Regions from separate parts of the Mus musculus genome. Here region 2 is reported to be linked to region 1. Evidence: microRNA targets listed by miRTarBase, many of them from high-throughput screens and not tested one by one. Region 1 holds a microRNA gene; the other region holds the end of a gene's coding sequence.
The links. Region 1 holds the annotated microRNA mmu-miR-9-5p (UCUUUGGUUAUCUAGCUGUAUGA, at 2,629-2,651, shown strand). A microRNA usually pairs through its seed, bases 2 to 8, with sites in the 3' UTR of a target mRNA and lowers its output. Matches are read on the target gene's strand: a 7mer-m8 pairs with bases 2 to 8, a 7mer-A1 pairs with bases 2 to 7 and ends in A, and an 8mer does both.

Region 2: miRTarBase lists Rnf144a as a target of mmu-miR-9-5p. Seed matches in the 3' UTR shown: 7mer-m8 at 383-389.

The regions. Positions count from the first base shown.
Region 1 is chr13:83,736,193-83,740,754 of GRCm38, forward strand. It overlaps Mir9-2 (microRNA 9-2), which reads left to right and starts at 2,622; the gene lies at 2,622-2,693. It overlaps C130071C03Rik (RIKEN cDNA C130071C03 gene), which reads left to right. Exons shown (of 4, transcript NR_152245.1): 4 at 1,978-4,562. Gm51268 (predicted gene, 51268) reads right to left here and starts at 2,684; the gene lies at 2,629-2,684.
Region 2 is chr12:26,307,068-26,311,347 of GRCm38, forward strand. It overlaps Rnf144a (ring finger protein 144A), which reads right to left. Exons shown (of 10, transcript NM_001081977.2): 10 at 1-3,722. The coding sequence ends at 3,591. Among named protein-coding and RNA genes, the nearest start is that of 4930549C15Rik, 38 kb to the right of the region's middle.

The sequences.
Region 1 (4,562 bases):
TTTTATGTAATACAAGCCAAATCATTAATTACTCTGCTGCTAGTTCTTGGAAAGCAAGGCCACGGTGCTCTTTAATCTTCCAAGCTGCAAAGCTCATTAGGATTTTTACATGATGTCAGAAGTGGCATGCGCTTCACTGAGTTGTTTATGCTGTGACCATATGGTTTAGGAATGAACAAAAACTCTATGAACATGCCTTTAGGATTGGATTGTAGTGTCCGTGTGTATTTTATTTCTGACTTCTCGTTCATAATTTGAAGAGAAATATAGACGAACTCTTTCCACATCTTAGTCTTTTCTCAATAGCCAGTTACAGAATGCTTACCATAAAAGTAAACAAATTAATATAAGGACAAATTGGCATCTCTGTTACTAAGCTGTAAGCCATATCTTAATTGGTGTGATATGTTTAAACTCTTCATTGGAGATGTTTCCTATCATTAAAACACAAACCAAACAAACAAACAAAAAAAACTTGTCAGTCTCTTCTTTACAGAGTTTAGATTTTAGGGCTCTGTATGTGATTAAATAACCAGGTTCTTATTTATGTGTTAAATGAATAAATTAGTGAATTACTGAGAAAAATTTTATTCCAAAAAAATTAATAAATCCAAAAGTATTTTAGCCACTGGGGAAAATAGACACATTATGGAATTGAGAGCATTGTGAGGCACAGGTGATGTGTGCAATGTACATTTAGAATTACTAATTCTCCTTTAGCATGTAACTTAAAGAAAAGCAACATTACTAAAAAATAATTAGTAATTTGAACAATAATCCATAATGTTTACCCACAGAGAACATGCTTCTTATGTAGATTACCATGAATATTTTGTTGAGAGGGATTTGAATGTTAGATATTAGATGTGCTAGACAGATTATCTATTATAAAGGATGAGAAAGAAAAGGATTCTTTGAAGTGATTTTAAAGTCACACTTTAAAAACTCCTAAGACAATGAATGAAGCTAATTAATTAATGAAATGACCTTCTGCTTCTCGATAGAAGGATATGAGTGGGTGGGGCCAGGGAGGTGTGGTAGCTTCCCTCCCTCCCCATCCAGGTGTTGGATCTACATGTTCAGGAGACAAGACTTTTATTTTAATTTTATAAGCAAGTCTAGTGCATTATTGTCCAGTGTGAAATTTATGTTAAAACAGTAGACAAAGGCTCAGCATTTTTGCTACAGCAGAGTTGTGTACAACATTGAAACTATTGCTGCAATGTTTACCTGTGCAGCATGCTAACCCCCACACACACTCTATATGCAAAGCATTTTTAAAAAAGAAGCCCCACTGTTTAGATCGTGCAGTTCGAACTTACAGAACAAATATGCTGCCCTATCGCCACGGTACACAGATAGAAAACATGACTGAGCTGTAAAGCCATTAAAAACATAACACCAAAGCAAATTGTCATTGTAACCATCGACTCACTGCGTAAAAACAGAGCTGATTCCCAGCCCCAGAAAGCGAGGCCCTGCTTTAAGCAATAGTAAAGTGCCTTCCATCTGCCTGCCTATGCAATCTGCCAGAAGAGAAATGCAGGCAAAGAAGTTCCCCAGACCTGAAATGCTTTTATCTATCCTTAGAGAGAGATTTTCTCCATTCTTTGGATATTAGAGCGATCTACACTAGCGCCAAGGAGGTAAAAGGCCGCGGGTTGCTTTTCAAGGAGCAGTCCGTAGTGCTAGTGGATGAAATGTTGATTGAGAATATAGGGACTGCTGCAAAGCTGCTGCTGCCGTCGCCGCCACCGCTGCCGCCGTCGCCGCCGCCGTCGCCTGTGCTACTCCTGGCAGCAGGCGTGGGGCAGTTGGGTGACCACTGATGCATATCAATAACCATGTACTTGAGATTTCTCATGACATCATCATTACCTTGGTCTCCCGCAGTCTCAAACCTTTGACCTTGCCGGGCTGGTCCACAATTTGGCGGTGAAAGCCCCTCCAATGATGGCCCTTTTCTCCTTCTTTCAGACCGGGGCAGCAGTACGCCAGCAAGAGGGCATGCTCTGCCCGCCTAGAAGTCCTAAGAAATCGAGGATCTCCCTTAAAACATTCACATACAAGATATGTGCAATCAAGCTGCCTGCACTTGGTAAAAAAGATCATGATGCCTAACCCAATGATCCGGAGCAGATCTTTGAATCAGCTGTCACTTCTATAGAATGGGATTTCCCCCTTCTTCCTCTTTAACCAGCGTTGGAAACTGCCGATGGCTTTATACATCTCAGTAGAGGAAGGCTAAAGAATCTTCCGTGAGAATGAAGCAATTTACAATGCAAATAGAGGCCTGTGAAGAGAAGGACACTGCTGCTCACCCCCAACAGCTTGCTGCACCTTAGTCTCTGGTCTTAATTTCTGATACTCATAGATGAATTGTTGGCTAACGATACTGGAGATTACTTGCTGGAAGGGGAAAAGTTTGGAATAAACTCTGAATGCAACAGATCTCATTTGGATGTTCTAGCCGCACACACTAAGACAGAAACCAGGTCATGTTTACATGAAAGGAGAAGCTTAAACGCGGCAAGTACCCCGGAGGACTACGCTTCCCTAAAGCCAAAGAGGATCGAGATCTGGAGTTCAGCCAGAGGAAGGCAGCCTTGTGAGGGAAGCGAGTTGTTATCTTTGGTTATCTAGCTGTATGAGTGTATTGGTCTTCATAAAGCTAGATAACCGAAAGTAAAAACTCCTTCAAGGTCACCGAGGAACGTTCCGGAAAGAAAGACTGCAACCAAGAGACAGTAAAAACCAGAAAGGTCAGGAATGCTTATTGAATCTAACTTTTTTTATCTTATGATTGAAAGTGGGATGCAAGAAAATTAAGTGACACGCATATTGAAATCTAAAGGGGCCAGGCTTTGAGGGGCTTGTACAACTGGAGAGGAGAATTGTGTAGTGTTTTTTACGGGTGACGATGCATGTATTTTCTATATTGTTCATTTTGAAGCAAACGTTTACATATGAGGTTTTTTTTTTCTTTTTTTTTCTTAGAAAGCTGTTATAGTGATGTCTGGTACCTCGCTTAAAAATGATTTCATAATTATGTAGATTTGGGCTGTTCCTATCTGAGGCCCCTCCCCCAAGTTTGAAGCTTGTGCCTGGAAACTTTCTATGTATTTGGGTGTGTACATCAAATTCTGTGAAGTTAGACTTTCAGTAAAGCTTATACTGGAAGGTTAATAATTTATATCTACCGAAGACTTAGAGCTAGCAGGGAAAAGGGGTGGGGGCAAAGGCTGATTTTTATTCTTCTATTCAAAATACAAGGACAGATGCTTCTCTGTTCCAAGAGGGTTTCCTTGAGGAAGCTACTGAAGCAGAAAGACATGATGGAGACGAGATCGCCTCCCCTCTTGTCAAAGTGTTAAAAAAATGTTCTGTCTTACTCTGCGCCTAGCATTGGAAATGAAAGTGACATTTACGCCACAACCCACGTGTGCGCCTCCTCTCTTTTTGTTTAAGGATGATCAGGTCTATCCAGGAAACAGCTCTGGCATCCCAAACTGAAATAATTAGGACGTATATAGACCTGACAAAAATGGAAAGGGGGTGGGGAATCTGAGGGTCTGTCTTGCCTAATTGATTCCGCTAAACGGAAAGCAGGAGATGTGAACGGCAGGACGCTCCGATTCCCACGCTCGGGGGCAAGTGGTAAAGCCTGGCCGGCAGCCTATGACAGACAGCCCTGTTGGGGGGTAGGGGTATGAAAAAAACATCAAGCACACACACACCATACTCATCTCCATCGCTTAAGAAAGTAAAGGCATTTCCCACCCACAGCCATCTGCAGCCTCCCAAATGGCAACACCAACTGGTTGGTAGCTGCTATGTACTGTCTCTGTTCATTTTTAAACCTCTGTTTAATCTGGCCATGATTAAATTTGGATTTCTCCTTTGGTTGAAATTTTCACCATTTAAGGAAAACAAGTGGAAAGGGTGCCAAGAGTGCCCCAGAACTGCATGCCCTTCTCAGAGAAGTCCTCAGTATGTGGTTAGGGCCTTGTGACCACCTTTGGCTTTTGTTTTGGCTGTGTTATATTTTAAAGTCATGTCTCATAGCATTCATTATTATGACTTACTTCATCGGGTTGTTTACTTCCTTGTGTGACACACAGGAACTTGGCCTACTTATGCTAATCTACATTCTGGAAATAAAGCTATAAAGTCATCAGTCTGTAGAAAGTTGATTACAATCACAATATGTTAGAGAACTTGTTTTGTTTTAGAATTGTCCTAGCGGATGAGCTTTTTTTTTCCCTTTTCCCCCTCCTCTTCCTTTTCTTCCTCCTCTTCCCTCTTCATCTAAAAGTCACTAGTCCCAGCATAAACTTTGAGGCTTTGGAGAAACCACTGTAGTCCTTTTTTGAAGTTCCTTGCATCCTGTTACATTTTATCAGGCAAACATTTGTATAGGCATTTGCACATAAATACAAGCATTGCAATGAGAAAAAAAATTCCAAAATTGCTTCTTTTCTTTCATATGGCCTAAATTACTGACACTCCCAAATGCATAAGTTTTCTTCAGGGACAGTACATTTTTCTTTATAGCTTCAACT
Region 2 (4,280 bases), not on the chromosome of region 1:
TTTTGGTCTTACCACCATTTGTCAAATACAGAATGTCTACGTGTGCACGTGCGCATGACCGACACATGCATTTTTGTTTTATACAAGATTAAAATATACCCAAGGCAAAGTAAGCAAAGTACAAAAGAAAAGTCAGGCACGTGGCACACAGCTACACCTAACGGAAGGGCCCTGGGATCTTGGAAGACAGGATTATACAAGTCAGGAAGGCTGGAGACCATGGGGTTTTAACTACCAAAAGGACGTGTTCCCCTAGTCACAGGGCATCAGTAATTGTTTGAACATAAGCCCTTCCCTCCTGGTTGAGTTTTTGGCAATAGCCAAATTTCTTCACCTCATTTAACTTCATAAGGGTTTGGGTTCATTGTGAGGGAGAAACAAGCTTTGGTATTTATTTTATTTAAGGAAACCTTCATAAAACGGTATACATGCAAAATGGTTTCCCTTGAAAATTTCATTGTGATCTACATATATATATTCACAGGTATATTTATTAATCAGTGGAAATCTGGGAAGTATACAAAATAAGTCCTCCCTTTTTTTTCTAATCCCTTAATCTTTAAAGACTACCAAGGGAAACTCTTCTCTTCTAACTCATAAAATAATCTTTCCCCTTTCTAATTCCAATGGAAAAGATAATTTCACCTTGAAGCCAATTTTCCAGCCTCACTATCCTTCCTCTCACGTGCACTGTTTTCAGTGGGGAACTGGTCAGAGTCTCACATCTGCTTTATGAAATAATAAACTATAGGGAAGATTTGCTCTCCTCAAGATAGGCAGGAAAGCGGGATGGGTGGGCAAGTTTTGGTTCCACACTCTGGGTAGTGAAACTCATGAAATCCAATTCCCCTGTCCCTGCAAGGAGCTGTCACCCAGTCCTCCACGAACACCTATCATGACTTAGCCACTGCTGGCATCACTCTGGGGGAGAATGTGACGCCTCATCCCCCAGGACACAAGGTGCAAGAATGAATTTGGCAGAGATAAGCACACCCAGGGAGATTCTGTAGCAGGGTCAGCTGCGGATAACCCACAGACCAGCGAGTGCTCAGTGAAGTCTTACGGAACAGCCCCATAGCCCGCCACTCTGAGCCTTCTCTACAAGGCCAGCTCTTCTTCCATCAGGAAAACAGTCTGTCTCAGGGAACTCCATTTTCAGTTCTGAGGTACCACACTGAGCAACAGAAATGAGACTGGTCACAGAGGCCCTCGGGCTTCTTAGGACCGACAGAGAGGCCAGCTTCATCGGGGGCCACCTCTTCTGTTGCATATGCATTTCAAACCACAATTGGCTCAAGCTGAATGTCCATAGTAAACGCATGTGGTAACCTCTACTTAGAGGACTCCCTCGGGCGACAATACATAAGTTTATATATTTCAACGTGATCTTACTGGTGTTTCTATAGGGAATGGACAAGTTAGGTTTTATTACTGAAGCCAACTGAGTAAGTGTACAAAGACTCAGGGCAGACAGGATACAGTTTGGCCCATGTCCCCACAATTCCCGCTTGTGCCAGCCATGTGCTTAGGAAGCCCACTATAGGCTGCTGTGTGAGCACAGGTGGGGTTACAGAGGTGTGTGGACATCCAGAGGAGTCTCCTAGACATAAGGGGACCCCATCTTTGATTAGGGAGCTTGAACTGCAGCCTCCCCCACCGCAAAGACAGAATGTCACTGAACAAATCAGACAGCAGCAATCAAGGCAAGGCAAGAAGGAGCCAGGGCCCAGGACAGCTGAGATTCCTGACAGGCATTTTAAGGGGTGGTGACTGGATAACATCTCATACAAACTGCAGGCTTGAGGTCTCAAATCTCAGCTACTGACCAGTTTCTCACCACAGAGCATCAAGACCTAGGCTTCACCCAGCAGAAGTCACACCTGTAATTTGCAACTACCAGGGGGACTTTTTGAGTGTGGTTTTGATGAGGACTGAGACTCTAAATGGCTTTAGCTTAATAAAGAAAATCAGTACCAGAGGATGAGAGACCAGTGGTTCTGTTTTACCTCAGTTACTCACTGTCAATTAAAAATAAAGAGAATTATGCCATTGCCCTGCAGGGAGTGTCTGTTAGGGCTTAACATTGACCCATAAACGAAGAGTCATACAGACAGCCCCTAAGGATGTTCCTGCAGTAGTCAAATGCCCAGCCACCCCCTCCCCAAATCTCTACATCTCCTGGGAAGCACACTGGACTATGAAAGCCAACTCTGAGAGAAAGCACTGCTCCCTATTTTCAGAGACGATTTAAGGAATACCTGTGTCTTCTTACTAACTTGCTCTTTGTTGATATGTAACTGTCACATAGCCCAGGGAAGGATCAATTCACAAACTCTGCACATCAGAAAAATTAAGTGAAACAGAAGGGTCTCTCCTTCCTTCCTTCCTTCCTTCCTTCCTTCCTTCCTTCCTTCCTTCCTTCCTTCCTTCCTTCCTTCCTTTATTCCTTTTTTATTCTTTCTCTCTCCTTTTTTCACCTAGCAAGAACAAACTGGTTAGCAGGGTTCAGAGTGTGTGAGCCACATGATTTTTCAAATTACTTAAAACATTTTAACAATGCATAGACTTCAGAAAGCTCTAAGCCAGCCTCCAAGTGTTCCCTAGAGATAGATGACACTGTCTCCTTGATGCCTACCTAAAAAGTTGGGCATGGAATCAAAATAGAGTCACTCGGAGTAAAATTAGTTCAGAGGAGAACATCCGGTTTAAAGATGCGCAAAGGCATCTGATGTCACCCGGGAGAGAGGACTGAAGGGACGCGCCCTGTGAGCTGAACTGGGGCAAAGGGCAATGCTGTGAAGCTAGAGATAATCCTTCAAATGTAGCAGTGTTTTCAAAGAAATGCAATGACACGGGGCCCGTGTGGGTAACAGTACACAGCTCACAGCATTCAAAAACTGATGACAGCAGGTTCCAAGAAAAACACAGAGTGTGCATAAGGCTTTCTGTAGCTCCTGAATAAAATGGTCAGGCCAGAAAAGATTTATATCTATAACTTCATAAAATGCACATTTCGAAAAAAGGCATAGGATGGTTTTTACGCACCTTATTGATTTTTCACTACTCAGTTGACAGGGGGAGAGAGTCTTCTAAAAAGGGTTTTACTAAATGCCTTTAGGAATAAAAACAGTTGTCACAAACAGGGTGGTTTTCTCAAGTCGGATATTCAGGTGCTGGCTGAAGACAGTCTAATCCTTGAAGACTTCTCTTGACACCACAGTGCCATCTGGAAGCCAAGGAGACCCTTTGTCCCAGTGGGTCTCTTAAACTTGACATTTCCAGTCTACGGCCAGGGGGAGGAGACTGCCTGGTATGCAGCTGACGCCACCTCCAGCCAGGTCTGCAGACACAGAACGACTCTGAGGGGATGCCCCCACCCACTTCCGCCTCCCGTGCCTCAGCAGCACCCAGGAGACCACACCCGGGCCTCTGCCCACTTGCTGGCGCCATCCCTGAAATCTCTGCAGCAAGCCGGACACTGAAGCTCAATGGGGCACATAAGGCAAATAACATGTTTAGTGTGAGGGGTGGTAGGGGTAGGGGAGCCACACGTCCCGAGGAAGGGGTCTGTTCCAGCGTCGTGCCATCCTCTAGGTGGGCAGTGGGTCGTCGTCACCTTTACTGCACTTGCATTTGCAGCAAAGCACGAAGGGTGTGGCCAGGAGCAGGAAAGGGGAGGCCACTAAGAGCAGGAGCCCAAATCCAGCAAAAATTCCCACCACCTAGAAGGGAAACATAGGAGAGAGGTGAGGAAGGCTGGTCTGTAGGTTCTATAGCTGAAGTTTAAATTACACCAACTCTCACCCACCATTACCAAATCCATCAATACATCTATATCCATCTATCCATCTACCATCCCGCCATACACTTTCCCATGTATTCATCTATTCAGCTAACCACCCATCTATGCATTCATTCATCCAACCCACCTATCCAACCATCCACAGAGTCACGCATGCATCCATCCACCACCTATCCTCCCATTCATAGATCTATTTCTCTGACGAGCATCCATGGGCCCATCTTTCCTCCTATGTTCCCAACAAACCGCTGGCTCATTCACTTGTATTCCCTCTTCTCCCCGCTTCCTTTCTATTCTCCCTTCATGCTCCACCCCAAGCCATACTTCCATGCATTCAACCATTTTGTGATTTCTCCCTGGACGACCACTATTTGTCAGATCATGGCTAGTTGTCACATAATCAATGGCACCTGAGATCTGGACACTCCAAGAGAACACTGTCTGATTGAAAGACCAAGATTTCATCAAAGGCTAATAA